Linked DNA regions of Nothobranchius furzeri. The protein of the gene in region 1 interacts with the protein of each later gene in a pairwise test. Links are inferred from orthologs where the notes say so. Each region holds a gene or a part of one and is shown on either strand. Other genes may lie near its edges.

Region 1 (10,526 bases):
TAATTGTATTCTTTTAAAAGAGGCTGACAGGATGTCATGTGACACAATGGCGGGTGTTAAAGGGAACGATGAGGTTGAAGGACATGGATGCATAAAACAAAATACTGGAATACTTTCATTTTGTTGTTTTTTAGTAAAAAACACAATAAATTGTATTTCTCAACACCTTAACAGTTACAGCTACATGATATTATTGCTATAATAAAACTTGGACCACGCGCGTGTGTGTGTGTGTGTGTGTGTGTGTGTGTGTGTGTGTGTGTGTGTGTGTGTGTGTGTGTGTGTGTGTGTGTGTGTGTGTGTGTGTGTGTGTGTGTGTGTGTGATTTTGCCATTCACAGGAATCTTGTTTAAAATGAAACCTTCCTGCCTCTCTGTGATCTCATGGCATATCAATGTGAGGACGCAAAGATGGCGGCCCCTGAAGCTCTGTGCCGTCCTCACATGGCGAGGCGTTCATGTTGTTGATGACAACACTCGAGGAGGGAAGGCTCAGACTAACCTGCCTTAAAAGGGAAAACCATCCTGAGAGTCAGAGATGCACAGAGGTGCAGTCTGTTCCACTTAAAGCAAATCAGGACTTTTAATTTAAAGTTAAAGCAGTTTTTCAGGCAGCTGCTTGTAAAAATGATGGATCTGATGGGTTTGTTAGGAAACAGATGGATAGATGTTAGTGGAAAAAGCTACTTTTCCTATTTCTTCACCTTTAGACTGTATGAACGCATCAAAAATCAAATTTGCCTCCAAGTTCACCTCTCCTCCTTGAACCGTCACCTTATCGTGGTGGAGGAGTTTGAGTGCCCAAATGATCCTAGAAGATATGTTGTCTTGGGCACTTTGTGCTCCTGGTAGGGTCTCCCATGACAAATTGGTCTTAGATGAAGGGTGAGAAAAAGAACGGTTCAGAGGATCTCTCATGGATTTACAATCAAAGAGTCGGAGCACCCGGCCCGGAGGGTTACCGGGGTCCCACCCTGAAGCCAGGCCTGGGGTTGGGGCCCGTGAGCGAGCGCCTGGTGGCCGGGCTTTCGCCCATGGCGCCCGGCTGGGCCCAGCCCGAACCGGATGCATGAGCTCATCCAACTGTGGACCCACCACCTACAGGAGCAACAAGAAGGGTCCGGTGCAGTGTGGATCGGGTGGCAGACCGAGGCGGGAGCCTTGGCGGTCCGATCCCCGGAGAACAAAACTGGTTTTTGGGACATGGAACGTCACCTCGCTGGCGGGGAAGGAGCAGGAGCTTGTGGCAGAGGTTGAGCGGTACCGGCTAGATATAGTCGGACTCACCTCGACACATAGCATGGGCTCTGGGACCCAAGTCCTTGAGAGCGGTTGGACACTCTCCTTTGCTGGAGTTGCTCCGGGTGAGAGGCGGAGGGCTGGGGTTGGCTTTTTGTTAGCCCCAAGACTCTCTGCCTGTGTGTTGGGGTTTACCCCGGGGGACGAGAGGGTAGCTTCCCTGTGTCTTCGGGTCGGGGAACGGGTCCTGACTGTTGTTTGCGCTTATGGGCCAAATATCAGTTCAGAGTACCCACCCTTTTTGGAGTCCTTGGGACAAGTGCTACATAGTGCTCTATCAGGGGACTCCATTGTCCTGCTGGGGGATTTCAATGCTCATGTGGGAAATGACAGCATGATCTGGAGGGGTGTGATTGGGATGAACGGCCCACCTGATCTGAAATCGAGTGGTGTTTCATTATTGGACTTCTGTGCAAGCCGCAGTTTGGCCATAACGAACACCATGTTCGAACATAAGGATGCCCACCGGTACACTTGGTACCAGGGCAGCCTAGGTCGCAGGTCGATGATAGACTTTGTAGTCGTATCATCTGACCTGCGGCCGTATGTTTTGGACACCCGAGTGAAGAGAGGAGCGGAGCTGTCAACTGATCACCACCTGGTGGTGAGTTGGATCAGACGGCAGGGGAAGATGCCGCGTAGACCTGGCAGACCCAAATGCATAGTGAGGGTCTGCTGGGAACACCTGGCAGAAGAACCTGTCAAGACAGTCTTCAACTCCCACCTCCGGCAGAGTTTTGACCGCATCCCGAGAGCAGTAGGGGAGTGGGCCTTGTTCCACTCTGCGATTGTTGAGGCGGCTGTTGCTATCTGTGGTCGCAAGGTGGCCGGTGCCAGTCGTGGTGGCAACCCCCGTACCCGCTGGTGGACACCAGAGGTTCGGGGAGCCGTCAGGCTGAAGAAGGAGGCCTACAGGGCGTGGCTGGTCTGTGGGTCTCCGGAGGCAGCAGACAGGTACCGGATAGCCAAGCGGGGTGCAGCAGTGGCAGTTGCCGAGGCAAAATCTCGGGCACGGGAGGAGTTTGGTGAGGCCATGGAGAAAGACTATCGATCGGCTCCAAAGAGGTTCTGGCAAACTGTCTGGCACCTCAGGAAAGGAAGGCAGCAACTCGCTCACACTGTTTACAGTGGGGATGGGGAGCTGCTGACGTCAACTGGGGCTATAGTCGGGCGGTGGAAGGAATAATTTGAGAAGCTCCTCAGTCCCACCTACGCGCATTCTGAGGAGGAACCAGAGCCGGGAGACCTGGGGATGGAATGTTCAATCTCTGGGGCAGAAGTTGCTGAGGTAGTCAAACAACTACACAGCGGCGGAGCCCCGGGGGTGGATGAGATTCGTCCTGGCTATCTCAAGGCTATGGATGTTGTAGGGCTGTCATGGTTGACACGTCTCTGCAAAATTGCGTGGTCATAGGGGGCAGTTCCTGTGGAGTGGCAGACCGGGGTGGTGGTCCCCATCTTTAAGAAGGGTGACCTGAGGGTGTGTTCCAACTATAGGGGGATCACACTCCTCAGCCCCCTGGAAAGGTCTACTCCAAGGTACTGGAGAGGAGGGTCCGATTGATAGTTGAATCTCAGATTGAGGAGGAGCAATGTGGTTGTCGTCCTGGCCGTGGAACCGTGGACCAGCAAGGGTGATGGAGGGGGCATGGGAGTTTGCCCAACCAATCCACATGTGATTTGTGGATTTGGAGAAGGCTTATGACCGTGTCCCCAGGGGCACCCTGTGGGGCCGCTCCAGGAGTATGGGGTGGGTGGCCTTTTGTTAAGGGCCATTCAGTCCCTTTACCAGAGGAGCGTGAGTTTGGTCCGCATAGCTGGTAGTAAGCCGGACCTGTTCCCAGTGAGGGTTGGACTCCGCCAGGGCTGCCCTTTGTCACCGGTTCTGTTCATTACCTTTATGGACAGAATTTCTAGGCGCAGCCGTGGTGTGGAGTGTGTCGAGTTTGGTGGCAGGAGAATCTCGTCTCTGCTTTTTGCGGATGATGTGGTCCTCCTAGCTTCATCCAGCTCTGACCTTCAGCTCTTGCTGGGTAGGTTCGCGGCCGAATGTGAAGTGGCTGGGATGAGGATCAGCACCTCCAAATCTGAGACCATGGTTCTCGACCGGAAAAGGGTGGCTTGCCAACTCCGGGTCAGGAGAGAGGTCCTACCTCAAGTGGAGGAGTTTAAGTATCTCGGGGTCTTGTTCACGAGTGAGGGTAGGAGGGATCGGGAGATCGACAGGCGGATTGGTTCAGCGTCCGCAGTGATGCGGACGCTGAGCCGATCTGTCGTGGTGAAGAGGGAGCTGAGCCAGAAAGCCAGGCTCTCAATTTACCGGTCGATCTACGTCCCAATCCTCACCTATGGTCATGAGCTTTGGGTAATGACCAAAAGAACAAGATTGCGGATACAAGCGGCTGAAATGAGTTTCCTCCGTAGGGTGGCCGGGCTCAGCCTTTGGGATAGGGTGAGGAGCTCGGACATTCGGGAGGGACTCGGAGTAGAACCGCTGCTCCTCCTGATCGAAAGGAGCCAGTTGAGGTGGTTTGGGCATCTGGTCAGGATGCCTCCTGAACGCCTCCCTGGGAAGGTGTTCCGGGCATGTCCTGCCGGCAGGAGGCCCCCGGGTCGACCCAGGACACGTTGGAGAGGTTACAGCTCCAATCTGGTCCGGGAACGCCTTGGGATACTGCCGGAGGAACTGGTGGAGGTGACCGGGGAGAGGACGGTCTGGAGCTCCCTAGTTGGGTTGCTGCCCCCGCGACCCGGACCCGGATAAGCGGAGGAAGATGACGACGATGCAGTGATGCAAACAAAATCCCTTGTGTTCCCACTCTTTGCTCAAATTTTCCAATTTTTAAAAAATCTACACATGCTTTTAGATTTACAATTGATTAAATTTAAAGTCAGTTTTATGAACTGTAAAAACGTGTTTCGAAACCCGTTATGTAAATAAAGAACCATCACGATTACTTTTCAGTGTGATGATGCAGCTGCTCACATCATTTAACCATCATAAATTCAGAGCGCTGCTGGTGCTTTAAGAGAAATTCCCACATGATCTGGTGCTGAAGATGTTCAGAACTGCAGCCTGTTGCTCTCACATCTATTAATAGAGTCTGAATGTGTGAGTGTGTGTTCTCCTCCCTCTGGGCTTCCTCGAAAAGCAGCAGAGAAAATACAAAATGACAGCTGAGGTAAACATCTCTTCATTGTTTTCTCCTCCTCCTCCTCCTCCTCTCATGGTGCTCAGGACTATGTAAGGCTAGTTCCTGTGGCAATACAATGATAAACAGTTGCCACTTTACATTATAAACAGATAAGAAACAGATAGCTTAGAAATGAAAATAGAAGCAAAATGGAAAAATAATTGAATTATCAACGTCTTAGTTATCATAGTTGATAAAGTTTTGTCACTATTTAACTGAAGATCTCATATTATCCAAATTATTCACTTTAGAACTTTAAGTAAAAGTGTCAACAGTATTTTTAGTGTTTATGAAACCCATAATTATTTTACATATTAGATTAAACATATTATCCAATAGAAAACCTGTTAAAAGCTAAAATGTTTAGTTGCACCTCCCGACCGCAGGGTGTCGCTGGCGCTCCACGATCATAAACAATCTCTGCTCTTTTCCTGTCTCATTCCAGACTGACGATGGTAAGTGTCATAAAAATTATTATTTGTGTTTGATTCATAACTGGGTGTTGTTTCCTAGCTGGAATCTGGTTTTTGCTTTAGTTTCTGGTTGAAGAAAACAGGAACAGAGCAAAACCGTTCGGGTTAGCTGGATTTAAGCCCCGGTGCTTCCTTTTATCGGGCGAGACGGTCATTATTTTGGTGTTGAACTGCACCCTAAAAACGTTTTTGTTGTAATTATCTCTAACTGAAACCAGGTTAAAGGTTTGTGTTAGTTTGTCTGATTTACCTTAGCAGATAAAGGCTGGAACCTGTTGCCCTGGAGTTGCAACTAGCATCATTTAGCTGTTAGCTGTTTCGAAATTCACTTTTAACCTTTTTCTTCAAGAGTTTGATCATGAAGAAAGAAGCAGTTCAAAAAGCAGCCAAAGAGTTTCTGCAGTTTGTCAACAAAGGAGTGTCTCCATATCACGGTAAAGTCATGTAACTATTGAATTTAACGTTGTAAACAAACCTTACGATGCAGGAAAGTCTAAATGTCTTCAGGCTTGTTTCTCGGTGTTTTGCTACAGGATGATGCTTTATTTTTGTATTTTCCCTACAAATAGATTTGTTGTCATTCTAACATGAAATCAACTTTTGTTATTCATGTCTTTGGAGATCAAACATTGTAATAAACGTTAAAAGCAGGAGCAACACAAAATTAAACTGAACCTGTGATTTTGTGCTACTTTTTTATTTCTAGAGTCAAAATTATTAACCCCTTGTCATTTAGTCAGTGTTCTTTAAAATTTTAAATATTTTTTTGCCTTTAAAACATTTTAAAACTCGAATTTTGCCACCTAAACTCTGAACTAAGTTCAGATGAAGCGATAACAGGTTATATTTGATAAGGCAGAGGGTTAAAACCTGCCAGCTGTTAGTGGTCAGGTTACTTTTTCTCCTGTAATCATAGACCAAAGAGATGTGCAGCTGTCAGCATTATCTTGGTCCCAAGTCAAGACGCCGGTCAGATTACCAGACGACTTTGAGCTCCAGATAAGATAAAGAAGAACAGATATTTCATAACGTGTCGCATCTGCGAACGCCGCTCCTTCCTGAGAAAAGGTTAGATATAGGAGCTCTGAGTGAAACTAGATTGCAAGCTTGTAAATAATCATTCATGAATGAATTAACTGATCTTGATTATTTTTATTACTGTCACTAAATGTCCGAATCCTAACTATTTTTCTGCTCTGTAGTGGTTGAAGAATGCAGGCAACATCTGTTCGAGGCTGGATTTATTGAGCTGAAGGAGTCTGAGCAGTGGGACATCAAGCCAGCCGGCAAGGTGGGTTAGGGTTAAAGGTCACGGGGGAGAGTTTTCAGGTTTCATGGCTGATTTATAACAAATCATCTTCCTGTTTGTAGTACTTTGTGACCAGGAACTTCTCCAGTCTCATTGCTTTTGCAGTGGGCGGATGTTACCTGCCAGGGAATGGTTTCTCCATGATCGGAGCCCACACAGACAGCCCCTGCCTCAGAGTAAGGCCCCACCAATAAAAACATCATAAAAACAATAGCAGTGACAACAATAGTGACCAAAATCAGGAGTAAAAACAAAGTCAAGGTGTGAACAAGAACAAAGCCATCTTTTAGAATATTTAGCGGGGGAAAGCCTGGATGAAAAGGTGAGTTTTAAGATGTTTTTTAAAGACCTCTACAGATTTCAAGAGACGGAGATTTGAAGGCAGACTGTTCCAAAGTCTGGGGGCAATAGACTGAAAGGCCCTGTCCCCTTTGGGTTTTAGTCTGGTTCGAGGAACAGCCAGGAGGTTTTCAGATGTGGATTGGAGGTTCCGTGAAGTGGTGTGTGGGGATAAAAGCTCAGATAAATAGCTTGGAGCCTGGTTGTTAAGAGCTCTATAGGTCAGCACTAAAACTTTAAACTGTATTCTAAATTCTACATTCTAAAATGTGTGTGTGTGTGTGTGTGTGTGTGTGTGTGTGTGTGTGTGTGTGTGTGTGTGTGTGTGTGTGTGTGTGTGTGTGTGTGTGTGTGTGTTTGTGCGCGTGTGCGCACTTCCAGGTGAAGCCGAGGTCTAAGAGGACAAAGCAGGGCTGTCTGCAGGTGGGTGTGGAGTGTTACGGCGGCGGCATCTGGAACACCTGGTTCGATCGAGACCTGACCATCGCCGGCCGCGTAATAGTCAAGGTACCAGGATTTATGTCATCGTTAACTTGATGACATCACTTAAACCCGCTGGAGGGTTTTTAAGCTTGTTTGTTTTTTATTCCTGTTTTCTTTTTACCTTTTGTTGTTTTCTTCTGTGAAAGTCTTTGTGCATCAACAGTCTTCAGATCTACAAACGATTAACTGTGACAAATTTGGAAAAATGCTGTGAAAATCTCTCAGGTCTGTTGGAGATCTATGTCTACAGTTACAGACATTTCTTGCATTCAGACATTTTTCTACTTTAGAAAACCTTTTTTTGTATCTCATCAGAAACTAGTTGTATCAATGGACTTTGGATTTTATGGTTTTAAGGTTTTTTAAAAATATTTTAGCATTTCAGATCATTTAGGTCTTAATAGTTTTCTTCTGAACACTTGGAGATCAACCTGGAAGGAAAAGGTGTTTTTACTGTGTTTAAACTGCAGGGGGCGCCAGATCTCTAAAGACAAAATCTGAAACCCTGAACATTTCCATGTGGTCAGTTTTCGGTCAAACTCTGCTAAATTAGACCTCATCATCAGTTTGATCACAGCTGATGAGTGCTTTTGTGGTTTTGTTTATTATTTACCCGGAAAAATATGATTTATTTGTGTTATGTGGTTGTTTTGTTGATTATAACAGATTTATTCTGTTGCTATTCCCTTTGGTTGTTGTTACAATAGAAGGAAACACTTTGTCTTGGGGAATGTAACCACACAGGACTAAGTCTTCCTGTCAGAGTTGTTTGGGTCATTCACGAATCTTCTGGAGTCATGGCTGCTGATCTTGTCCCTGCAGAGTGGTGGGAAGCTCATCCACCGGCTGGTCCACATCCCCCGGCCTCTCCTCAGGGTTCCTCACCTCGCCATCCACCTGCAGCGGGACATCAACGACTCCTTCGGCCCAAACAAGGAGAACCACTTGTGAGTTCATTTTCTGGCCCTTTTTTTTCCAGTTTTAGGTCATGGTGGAATGTTGGTTTAGATGAAAATCCGACAAGTTATTAGCATCAGAATCCTTTGGAGCTGTTTTCTCTTTAGGAAACAAGCTAAAACTCCACATGTCCTCTTGAGTGTGTTAGAGTTTCCTTTACCTGTTGATGACATCATAACCAGGTGGTAAACTCCCTCACCACATGTCTCATTTAGTCCGTTTTCTCCTTTGAGGTGGTTCGTTTATGTAGGTGTGAACACAGTAACCTCTCCAGGACGCAGAGCACAATAACAGTACCGAGACCCGCTGCAGGAGGCGGTCCTGGTAAATCCAGAGCGGTACAAACGTGATCTAACAGAACACCTTGATGAGGAAGAGATTTCTTTTCTGTGTTCTAGAGTTCCCATAATCGCCACGGCCGTTCAGGAGGAGCTAGAGACGGGTTCTTCTTCATCTGGAGATGCTTCCTGCGCCTCCACCACGGTAAAAACCTCAAATCCGTTTATATATTTAATCACTTAAAATGTCTAAATAATTAAAAAACATTACAAAGTTTGTCACTAAATCTTTAACATATTTTACGTGATTCTGTTTAAAGGGACTATAAAGGAAGTTTGACAGCCAAAACATGTATCGAAATAATAAATAGAATGAGCCCTGGCATTTTTACTGTGATTGCCTGTTTTTCTGTAAAATCACAGAAGAAGAGAGATGCTCGGGTCGAGCAGGCTGCTTCATGCGCGTTCACGCTCAGACACAGCCCGTAGCATTTGCTATCCGTAGCTTTAGCAGCAGAGAGAGAGGCAGTGCCACTTTGTCGCTGTTCCTAACGCCTAGTGATGAACCTAGCTACATTTCTGAGGACCCTTAGCTACTTTCTGTGGAACATTCTTCTAGATATTTCCTGCAAATTAACAACAAAATAGCCATTTTTGCTTTGAACCGTTCTTTGATTTGACGTTGTTTCAGCTGTCATCAAGGATATAAATGTTACAGATACAAAGGATGTCACTGGTGCTTTCGCTCACCTAGTAAGACGTTGGACTCCCATGCAGAAGACCTGGGTTTGATTCTGGATGTGAACATAGTTTATTTAGAGTTTCTTTTTTACATTAATGGTATTTTTTTACAGTAAGATGCCCAAATTTTTATTATAGACTCGCCGAACGGCATTGAATTCACAGATAAAAAAGATGTGGGTTCAACTTTCATTTTGGAACAATTTTTCAAGCAAGGGAAGGGAATGATCTGAGCATGCTGGAGGACCGACCCATCATAAACCTTTGTCGGCTGTGCTGAAGAGAAAGGTACAGAACAAAATTATTCAATTAATTAGCTGCACGTTCTCCTGTCCTCTGTCCTCCGGGCCACACACACACGCGCACACACACACACACACACACACACACACACGACTATCTCAAATGTTATTTTCGTTAAGGAGTGTGCACGTACAGCATGTGCGCCTCGTGCACGAGCCTACTATTGAAGCTGCTGTTACGCTTTTGGCCTGAGGGGGCAATCACGAGCATAAAAATTCAAAAGTCCGAAAAGTCCCTTTAAATAGTAAAATGGATTTTTAAATAATTTTTATTTTGTGGGAGCCTTTTTCAAATTGCTTCTGTTTTTTCTTTTTCAGCAAAACTGAAACTTTTTCAGTTTTAGAGAAGCTGAGAAACTGAAATGTGTCTTTTTATTTCTAATCCCTCTCAGATGGAGAAGCACCACCCAGCCCTGGTGAAGGCGTTGTGTTCAGAGCTCAGCGTTGAGCCTGAAGTTCTGCTGGACTTTGAGTTGTGTTTGGCCGACACGCAGCCGGCGGTGAGTCTCTAAACCATCCAGTCATTTCCTGTCAGGTCAGAAAACCAGCCGCTTACTTCCTGTCACTCACCAACTGGATGAGAGACACACACGTAACACCTGCGGCTCCAAAAGGACTGGTGCTGAACAACTTGTTGAAAATGTTTAACTCATTCACTGCTAGGGTTGCCACGATACTAAAATTTAAAACTCGATTCGATACTGGGGAAAAAAACTCGATTTCGATACTATTTAAAAACACCAATTTATTGAACAAGTTTATTCAAAAAATAACATTCCTCAATTTATATTGCAAAAATTAAATGTTAAGAATTAAGTGTATAAAGTGCTTAAACCTTGCAAGTATCAGCATTTTTTAAAACATGCATACACCTTATCGTGGTGGAGGAGTTTGAGTGCCCTAATGATCCTAGGAGCTATGTTGTCTGGGGCACTTAGTGCCCCTGGTAGGGTCTCCCATGACAAATTGGTCTTAGGTGAAGGGTGAGACAAAGAATGGTTCGGAGGATCTTTCATGGCGGTTAAAACGAAGAGTTGGAGTACCCGGCCCGGAGGGTTACCGGGGTCCCACCCTGGAGCCAGGCCTGGGGTTGGGGCCCGTGAGCGAGCGCCTGGTGGCCGGGCTTTCGCCCATGGGGCCCGGCCGGGCCCA
Region 2 (10,426 bases), on another chromosome or scaffold:
GAGGACGTCGCCGCCACCTCCAGTCCAGGAGTCAAGGACGTCTCCTCCGGCGTCTCTGCCTCCGTTCACCACCAGTCCTGCCCTCACCAAGCGCGGGCCCCCAAGAGCCCATCGTCACCTCCTCCTCTGCCACATACGCAGGCCCCCAAGAGCCCGTCGTCGCCTCCTCTGCCCCAGACGCAGGCTCCCGGACTCTACTGGTCCCTGCCTCCTCTGAATCTGTCCCTCTCGGCCCTTCCTCCGTGTCCACCTCCTCCCGCCCTGCTCTATGTTCCTATGGGCATCTGGGATCCGCCCTTTGATGGGGGGGGGGGGGGGGGGGGGGGTCCTGTAACACCCTGCCCTGTCTCCCCATTTGGTTCAGTCCTGTGTTCATGTTAATTGCTCCCACCTGCCTCTCGTCTCCCAATCACCCAAGGTCCCAGCTCCTCCTGTATTTAAACCCCTCCAATTCTGTGTCTCTTGTTGGCTCATTGTTCCCATGTCCTGCGTGTGTTTGTTATTAAAACCTTTTACGTTACCCAGTTTGTCTGCCTGCCTGATTCCTCCCCAGCATGTGGATCCTCACCTCCGTTCCACTCACCGGCACGTCGTGACATATATACACATGTATTTTTCAGTCTGAAGTTATAAAAAACGCATTCCCACAGTAATTAAATGTAAAAAGTCAATGTATTCATCCTGCATGATTTTGTGTCAAGAGTTTACAGTGTAGGAGCTATAGAAATTAGAAAACTTAAAAAATCCACCAAAAATGAGAGAAGTATTTTTTCCTAAAAGTAAAGGAAGTAGTTTGTAGAGGAGCTAAGTATTGACCAGCAGGCATGATTCTGTGTCAGCGTTTACAGTACAAGAATTTTTGAAATTACACAAATTAAAAAATTCACAAAAAACCTGAGAAGTATTTTTTCATGAAAGTAAAGTTTGTAGTTAGTAGAGCAGCTAAGTATTGACCTGCATGCATTATTTTGTGTCAACAGAGTTTACAGTATAGGAGTTATTATTATTATTATTTTTTAAATATCACCAAAAGTCAGAGGGGAACAAAAAAAACAACAACAAAAAAAACAATGCTCAATGCTTTCTGTCTGGCTCACGGCGTACCGAGTGATACCGGGACGCGGGATATTTTCTCGCCGAAAATGATAGCTCTCCTGCGGCATGCCGCTCTTTGAACTCCACGGAACTCCTCCTCATCAGTCTTCTCGATGGTCTTCTCCCCCTTCCCCATCCTCATCAGGGTCAGCTGGGCCTGCTGGTACAAAATTTTCATCCTCCGAGTCCACAGAGTCATTGTCAGAAGACAAGCTTTCCCCACTGGAGACTGTTGGTTCCTGCTGGGCTTCTATAGCTCATAAAAAAGTTCACAGGCTTGTGATACATTAAGACATTGTGCCACTTTTGCAATGGAAAAAAAAAACTAATCCCAATCTGAGCCGTCTATATAAGCATTTTCAGCAAGGACACAAGTGTAAACATTGATTGATGCAGGCATTTGTTTTTACAGGCTGCATCTTTGAAGTTATAGCTGTAGATATTGTGTGTTCATGAGCTTTGAGCTGTTCAAAAAGTTGTATTCTTGTTGGCATTACAACTTCCAACAGTAAATAAGTTGGTAACTTTTGAACATTTGCAGCACATTCAGTTTATATCCAGCTACCACAAAGTTTTGGTGTAGCTCAAAGAGTCTAAGACATATAAAGCCCCACCCTCCCCTCCACCCCCCAACCTCCACCACCCACCAAAGCATGAAAAAATATTTCCTCTGGTAATCTGTCAATTGCATCGAGTCATAAGTGCATGCATGTGGGCAGAAACACACACAAAAAACACATATAAATCTGTTGTTTAGGATTTTGCACTGATATTAGACTTTGGGTGAGAACTGATTTTTCTAACGAAACTGAAAAGAAAAAAAACAGTCACATAAATTATGAAAACACACATGCACACTAGTCTGACATCTCTAAAAACACTCAAACAAAAATTGTTCAAAAAAAATTATTGCATTGTGAATCCAGGGGCCACTAAATCTTCAAAACATAAATTTCTAAAGTGTATTATAAATCAATGTCCTGCCATTTATAGAAATATCATGCCATTTGCTGGAAAAAATTAAAAACAAAAATTTCAGTCCCTAGTGGCAGCAGGAACACAGGTGGAGTGAAATAAAAAAATATTTATAGTGATATTTAGCTTTGTTAGAAAAAGGTTGTTTGAATGAGAGTCTATGGCACCAAAAAATGTCCAGGGACCTCAATGTTCCTTTTTTGTCTACACAATGTTTTAAATGGAGTGTGTGTGTGTGTGTGTGTGTGTGTGTGTGTGTGGGGGGGGGGGGGGGGGGGCATTTTACTTTTAGTAAACTTACCCAGAAACACACACCGGAGACAAAAAATAAAAAGAATTACATCAACACAGTCAAAACTTATAAAAAAAAACATGACTGCCTCACAAAAAAATGCACGAGGGACCTCTAAGGGTTAATTCATTTTCAACGACATTTCAATGGATAATTCCAGAGATTAACAGTAAAAACTACACACTGTCTCTTTAAAAAAAGCAAGATCAAAGACACAGCTACGACAGAGCTAATGCATTTCATTGATAGTTTATTTTTTAGGTGAAAAGTGCCTTTAAGGACCCGGTCAGTGGTTGATTGTAAGGTGAAGTTACACAGACAGCATGAGCAACAAGTGTCAGAATCCTAGTCCTCGCCATAGCTAATGTAATGACAAATGGGAAAACCAGAGACAATGAAAATCTAATGGCGATTTATTTCACAGTCATGGTCCTGTTTTGCATTTCAGAATATTCTTAAGGTATGTGGCACCAAAAGCTAGCTCCTAGCCTCCAAAAATGTTTAAACCACCTGGTGAAACATCTCAGCCTTCTGTCATAAAGCTTTCTAAATATTGCTTTTTTTCTTTAAACTGCATTTGTGCAATAAAATCTCAGTGACAACATCCAAAAGGAAAACACCTGGGACGCTGCTGACTCAGAGGTTTTGGCGTTTGGAGTGATACTGGCATTCTTTAGTACACCCACGACACAGGCACCCATTGGGGGGTGGAGGTGGCGTGCTCCATGGCCTCCTCTACCCCTTTAACGCTCTCATCCACGTCGTTGTTGACAAGAACCACGTCAAAGAAGTGTCCGTACGTGCCCAGGATGGCGTCCGACTCTTTCTGGATCATCTGAAGGTTTTCCGTCTAAGAGAGAGGAAACAGGAAGTTTAGCTATTGGCTCGTTGATTTAGATGTTTTTAAAAAAAGGTGTTTATCGTGTGATGTTGTGGCACCTGTGTGGCGGTGTTGGTGGGAGCTATAAACACCACCAGGGGGGCGAAATCAGCTGTCCGCACAAGTTTTAAGGTCTGTAGGAAGATTTACAAACAAATCAATTACACCCTGGGCACTAAATATTCCAGAAGTGTCCATTACAAAGTCAAAAATGTGAGCATAGTGTTTCTGTTTGTCCGTTCTGACCTGTGGTTCCACATCCAGCACAGCAATCTTGTCTTGATCGTGGATCTTTTGGATGGTCTCGAATTTGGTACCGAACATGTATCCCTGGAAGCTTCCGTACTCCAGCAGCTCGTTTTTGGAGATGCACTTGGTCATGTCTTCATTGGACATGAAGTAATATTCATGTCCGTTCTCCTCGTCCTTCCGCTGGGGTCTGGTTGTGTCTGTGCAAATTCAGTGTTTGAAATGAAGATTTTTGCAAACCTAGCTTCGCTGTAAGAACAAAAACATCCTACTTACGTGGTGCAGGGTAGGAAAATTTCTCAGGGTATCTCATCAACAGTGCATTTTTGATATGGCTCCTTCCCACACCAGGTGCTCCTGAGAAGAGCAAAGTTAAGAGCTCATTCATTCAATTTGCGATGAAGCAAGTTTCCTCTTATGTCCCTGAGAAAGACAGCTTACCGATAAGCACCAGAGTTTTTCTTTTAAAAGCAGGGAGCCTCACCACCTCTTCATAGGAAATCACATCCAGTTGGTCAAAAACTGCAGACAAATGATCATGTTTAGATAAACTTGCACTGGGGTGTAAACTTGGGTCCAGTAATCCTCTCACTTGAGCTGTGCTTAGCGAGATATTTGTCCTTGCACTTCTTCTTCTTTCCAAACGGGCTGCAGGACTGACTTCCCTCCTTGGCCTTGCTTTTACTGGCCACTCTCCTGCAAAGAAACAGGCACATGAAGTTGTATATGCATCTTCAGCTCTGCAGGACCACTAATCAGAAATGATGCGTATCTCTACCACTCTTGGAGCTCTGGGGAAGGTATCAGTCCAGCAAAGTCCACACCGCTGCTCTCCACTCTGCCCTGCCACCAGTTTGGATCCTGCTTGTTAATAATGTGGATGATGTCTCCAGTTTGAAACTTTAGGCCAGCCTCTTTGCATGGGATGAGGTCATCCTTGGTTGGGTCATAATCAAACTGAGCTCTCATGTATGTCTGTGGATAAGGATCAGGACATGTGGAGCAGAGATACTAAATATTTTGTGTAATAAGAATATTTAATCGTTTCTGCACAAATACCACCTTTAGGAAATAAAGTAGTCTAATACAGACTTCAGACATTTCCTTGTTATTTGGATTCTATCAAAGACAAAAGTTAAAATCACCCACGGGTAGAGCATAATGCCAAATGATCATGACAGCTTCTTGCAGAACACTAAAACTGTTTCATAATGAATAATAAAAGCATGAATTGGTTTGACAAATGTAGACTTCAGTCTCATTGATTATTAGAATTTAATTTTAATACAAAACATTCCTAAACTGTCACAGATTATGGAACATGCATACTCCACCCACAGGTGAATTACTACAACCACATTCCTCAATGGCTGGGATCCCCGCAAGAAAATTAATGCAACAGATTTCTGACTTTTTTTTTTACTTAGAATTTATAGAAAATCCTGCAGCAAGGGATGGATATAAGTGTCTCTATGTCTTCCTCAGATATATGCTCTAATGGGAAGTAAAATGCATGTTTTACTTACTTATTTATATATCTATTGATTATGTAATAATCAAAGGACATGTGCGAGTTCACTTCAGTTGAGAACTCAGGAATTTTGGGGAAATTTCTTAGTTTCTCGCCCTCCTGACTCAGATTTGCTCAGATTCTGAATGCTTTGCCTCAGAACTGTGGACTGGAGTCACGTGACTTGGACTTGATTCGCGTAACTTGGACTTGAGTCATGTAACTTGGACTCGAGTCAGATTTGAGTCACAGATTTGATGATTTTAGACTTGACTTGAAAAATGTTTAAAGACTTGTTTTTTATATACCAGTGACTTGGGACTTGACTTAGACTTGAACCTGTTTACGAGAAAAGACCTGGGGTCTCATTTATCAAACATTGCGTAGAATCCTTACTAAAACTGTACTTAAGCTCAGCAAAACAAATGTACTTACGCCAAGTAGGTTTGTGATCTATCAAACATGGAGAACGCACAGCTGCACGCAATCTCCGCTTCATAAATCAGAAACTATCTAGAAAGGTTCTCAGCTGCTTTTTAGTCACATCCCACCCTCACCACGCCCACTTACTGCCATAAATAGTCAATGCAAAGTGCCTTGTGGATCTCATGCATATACATAAGCCGGCTGTTGCAGCGCTCCACCAATGACATGGCGACCGTAGATCAAGGCTACGGTGGCCCTGAAGTGCAAACCACAAAAACAAATCACTTAACGCAAACACAAATTGAAAAGCGCAAAAACAAATCGCTTAGCGGTCTGGCAAGGACCCGGCCTGTGGATTCGGACACACCCGCTGACTGCTCTTTCACATAACCACGTTCGGCAGAACAACTTCCGATTCAAAAGGCCAACGGATCCATCATCCAATCAGTGATGCCTGTTGTTGCAGCATTGGTACCTACCTTTTCCGGTTTGTTTTTTGTTTTTGTGGTTTTCAATTTGGTTTTGTGTTTAGTGAATTTGTTGTTGTGCTTTTCAATTTTTTGTTGTGCTTTTCAATTTGTTGTGCGTTTAGTGATTTTTTGGTGCATTTAGTGAATTTGTTTATGCGCTTAGTGATTTTTTGGTGCATTTAGTGAATTTGTTTTTGCGCGTAGTGATTTTTTGTTGCGTTGTCACGGCTGCCAGCCTGAAGAGGGGAAAAAGCAGCCAGGATCACCCAGCTCTGGTGATTGACTGGACACCGCCCCTCCTCCTCCTCTCTTCCAGGCTGCTGAGGAGCACAGCTGAACTGAATCCTCCTGATGAGCCACACCTGGGATAAAAAGGCTGTGCCTTCAGCAGTCTGGGAGGCAGCAGTGCAGGGGTTCTGCTGTCCTCCAGGTCTCGTTTGGTTTAACCGCGTCGTTATGATGAGTTTTAACTTATAGTTTTAACTCTGAGTGATCCACATGGATCTTTTGTGCAAGTCACCTAGTGTTGACTGTGTTTTAAGGTTAACTCGGATTTAGTTTTTAGACTTTTATCAACGTCACTGTGTTTTAAAACACCTTCAGTTTAGGTAAAACTTTTAATAAAGTTTTAACCAGGTGTTTTATAGTTGATAATTTGTCTTTTAACTGTTAACCTTATAGTGAATTTTTCGTTTTGCATTATTTTAATAATGCTCGCCGTCTGTTTGCTCTTGTTTTTAGAACCTTTTATCACAATTAAACCCATTTTAAATGCCACTGTCGTATTTCTTATGTTACCCCCTCCTTCACATTTTAACATCTCCTGTCGGGGACGTAACATAAATGGGGGCTCGTCCGGGATATTTATTTTAACAGCAGACCGTGAAGGAATGTACAATCCCTGGTGGTGGTATTTTAATGGTGTTTTATTTGTTTCAAGGTTTTAAACAGATGGCTTTGTGGATGACTGGCGGGTGCTTCTGGAGGCCTAGCTCCCGCTGGAGGATCCACTGCTGGATGGGCTCTCAGAAGCTTCAAGTCTGATCCAGCCCAAGGAGAGGAGGATAAAAGACGTGGATCCTGAGATGGCCCCCACAGGCAGGCTCAGGTGTTGCACCTAGCGGGTTAGCGTTGGTGGTTTACTCCACCATCTCGGGAGCACCCCAGGAAGGGCAGTGGCTAACCCCCTCCCTTTGCTGGTCGGAATGTGCAACAGCACATGTGCTTAATCTGCCCGCCTGCGAAGTGCATGAAGAGTAGGGATTTTAGATAGCCTGTTTTATTTTATCGGGGGTCTCTTTTGTTTTTATGTGATCCTAGCTGTTAAAGAAAAAGTTTTAAAAGTTTCTATTGTGTCCTTTACTAACTTTTATCCTTTTTCTTTTGTTTATGTGTGGGGGTGTCACGGCTGCCAGCCTGAAGAGGGGAAAAAGCAGCCAGGATCACCCAGCTCTGGTGATTGACTGGACACCGCCCCTCCTCCTCCTCTCTTCCAGGCTGCTGAGGAGCACAGCTGAACTGAATCCTCCTGATGAGCCACACCTGGGATAAAAAGGCTGTGCCTTCAGCAGTCTGGGAGGCAGCAGTGCAGGGGTTCTGGTGTCCTCCAGGTCTCGTTTGGTTTAACCCCGTCATTATGATGAGTTTTAACTTATAGTTTTAACTCTGAGTGATCCACATGGATCTTTTGTGCAAGTCACCTAGTGTTGACTGTGTTTTAAGGTTAACTCGGATTTAGTTTTTAGACTTTTATCAACCTCATTGTGTTTTAAAACACCTTCAGTTTAGGTAAAACTTTTAATAAAGTTTTAACCAGGTGTTTTATAGAGTTGATAATTTGTCTTTTAACTGTTAACCTTATAGTGAATTTTTTGTTTTGCATTATTTTAATAATGCTCGTAGTCTGTTTGCTCTTGTTTTTAGAACCTTGTATCACAATTAAACCCATTTTAAACGCCACTGTTGTATTTCTTATGTTACCCCCTCCTTCATATTTTAACATCTCCTGTCGGGGACGTAACATGCGTTTAGTGATTTGTTTTTGCACTTAGTGATTTTTTGTTGCATTTAGTGAAATTGTTTTTGCGCTTTTCAATTTGTTGTGCGTTTAGTGATTTGTTGTTAGGCTTTTCAATTTGTTGTTGTGCTTTTCAATTTGTTGTGCATTTAGTGACTTGTTTTTGTGTTTAGTGAATTTGTTGTTGCATTTTTCATTTTGTTGTGCGTTTAGTGATTTGTTTTTGTGGTTTGCACTTCAGGGCCACCGTACAAGGCAGATCAAGGAAGCCCAATTTCACACAAGCTGAAATTGAGGTACTTGTGGGTGAGGTGGAGAAATGAAAGGAAGTACTTTTGCAAAACAAATATGAGAAAATCCACAGAGTGGCACAGCATTGCTGAAGCCGTCAATGTTGTGAGTTCTTCAGAGAGATCTGTGGCGGATATAAAAAAAAATGGTCCAATCGGGATTCGATCCCCAGACTCCCAGGTGAAAGTCACGCATGCTAACCTGTCACCCTATTGGAGATCTGCCTTGTCCAACTAACCAGGGTGCATGATCAATCGGTTCACAGTGACAGGACACACACTTTCACAGATGCATGACATTCTGTCTCAATCTGTCCCCCTGCTGATCTTCTGCATTCTGTATTCTGCGCTTCAGGCTGTGTGTGTGTGTGTGTGTGTGTGTGTGCGTGCGTGTGTGTGAGTGTGCGCGCGCGCGTGTGTGTGCGTACGTGTGCGCACGCATGTGTGTGCGTGTGGGGGGTCTTGTTCTGTGTGAAAACGAAGAGTAGACGTGATAATGCTGCAGGATTTCATAATTTTATCCTTCTCAGCAGCAGCACTGCAGGTGCTCTCCATGTCCAAAATGTGTGTAAGCCAGGTCCTTATTCAACTTAAAGTTGCGTACATTTTTCCGCTAAGTTTTCTTTCATAAATCCCAAAATTTGCGTGGAAAGTTGCTTATGCAGTTTTCCAACCCCGTTCTGTGCGTAAGCAAGCTTGATAAATGAGGCACCTGATATTTGGCCCAATATTTAGTTTAAAACATTTGAGAATTTCCCATTTTTAAGTTATTTCGCTCAACCCCGTATTAACAAACGGGGACGTCTGTCTGTAGGCTAGCAAGTGTGTGAGAGCTGCAGTACAGCCAATCAAATTAACCAGATTTAAAAAGAGAAACGGAATCCAGCAGAATCCTCTGTTTCTGTAAACGGCGCTGCAGCTAACATTTATGTTTTGGGTACACACATCACAAATTCATTAACAAAAAATGCAGAGCAATATGTAAACCATGCAAGAAAAGAAATACAGAAGGAGATGGAACAACTCCTAACCGGGTTCGACATTTGAAGTTGAACGGTAGGTGGTCGTTTTTTTTTTTTTTCGTACAATGAGATAGATACCTTCAGCTAACTACTCCTTATGAACATGTTCTCCGGCCTAAGTTTATGGTACTGTTTGGCTCTAACATGCATGTTGTTTTTGTCATGCCATTTTAAATCATGTTTTAAAATTGCATCTAAGAATAATCGGCTGCTAATTAGCTCAGGATTACATCCAGACAGCAGGTTCTTTATTATTGTCTCCAGCAGACAGAACTTTTGGCGAGCCGTGAAGTGCAATGTTATGGCCGGAGCCATTTGTGTTGTTTCATTTTTTTACACCTTTATCCTCCTTTTTCATGTTAGCACATGTGGTGCTGCACCTGAGGAGCTGTCCAGAGCTCCATGCCTGCAGACTGGGCGTGTCTGCTCAACCTGGCTCCGCCCAGCACCAGATGTGCAGAGTCGCCATCAGCGGCTGATTGCTTCAAGCGAAGATATTCAATTCCGGTCCTCGAAGGCTGGTATCCAGAATGTTTTAGTTGTTCCTCTGCTCCAACACACCTGATTCAGTGGTTGAATCACCTGTGCAGCAGTTCACCAGGCTTTGCAGAAGCCTGTAAATCACCTGCTGATTGAAATCAGGTGTGTTGAAACAAAGTTAAAACTAAAACATGGTTGAAACCAGCCCTCCAGGCCCAGAACTGAATCTTCTGGAGGTCATCACCAGTGCAGCAACAGTTCAGAACTGCTTTCCTCCAGCCTTTTGTCTCCCATTTAGAATGTGACTTTGATACTGAGTAGTGTTAAGAGTAATTTGTAGTATTTTCAGTGTTGCATTTGGAGAGGTTTAGAGCTCTCGTGTTTACATTTGGTTTTCACAGGGCTAAGACCTTTTTGTATTTGTTTCTGTTTTGAAAAGAAAAAACTTAAAACTTTTGTTAATGTTTTATCACTTGTGTCACATGTGGGTTGTAACATGCAACAATTGAACAAAAAGGGTTTTTAGGACATTTGGAAATAAACTTGGTTTGTAATTCTTTTGAGAACGTGGTGCATTAAAGTTTATTCAGAGACGTCCAATCCACGAGCCCATGAATCCTATTGGCTGTTGTCACGCCAGCTGGAGGGAGAAAATGCTGATTTTTAGAAAAATGCTCGAAAGGACTTTAAATCAGAAGTTTCAGATTTGGGACATGACTT

The links.
Region 2: the proteins of dnpep (region 1) and mpp1 interact in binary tests that used the Homo sapiens proteins (3 or more experiments, as listed by UniProt). The two-hybrid records come from large-scale screens. The link is inferred for Nothobranchius furzeri from reciprocal best matches to the Homo sapiens genes DNPEP and MPP1.

Annotation. Positions count from the first base shown.
Region 1 is NC_091743.1:83,107,405-83,117,930, reverse strand, and holds the start of dnpep (aspartyl aminopeptidase), read left to right. Parts: upstream 1-4,872; 5' UTR 4,873-4,944; coding exon 4,945-4,947; intron 4,948-5,314; coding exon 5,315-5,399; intron 5,400-6,167; coding exon 6,168-6,256; intron 6,257-6,336; coding exon 6,337-6,450; intron 6,451-6,994; coding exon 6,995-7,120; intron 7,121-7,918; coding exon 7,919-8,043; intron 8,044-8,451; coding exon 8,452-8,536; intron 8,537-9,766; coding exon 9,767-9,874; intron 9,875-10,526.
Region 2 is NC_091750.1:51,666,553-51,676,978, forward strand, and holds the end of mpp1 (55 kDa erythrocyte membrane protein), read right to left. Parts: intron 4,467-10,426; coding exon 4,270-4,466; intron 4,188-4,269; coding exon 4,084-4,187; intron 4,014-4,083; coding exon 3,933-4,013; intron 3,849-3,932; coding exon 3,768-3,848; intron 3,692-3,767; coding exon 3,489-3,691; intron 3,377-3,488; coding exon 3,302-3,376; intron 3,213-3,301; coding exon 3,036-3,212; 3' UTR 2,596-3,035; downstream 1-2,595. UniProt on the Homo sapiens protein: Essential regulator of neutrophil polarity. Regulates neutrophil polarization by regulating AKT1 phosphorylation through a mechanism that is independent of PIK3CG activity.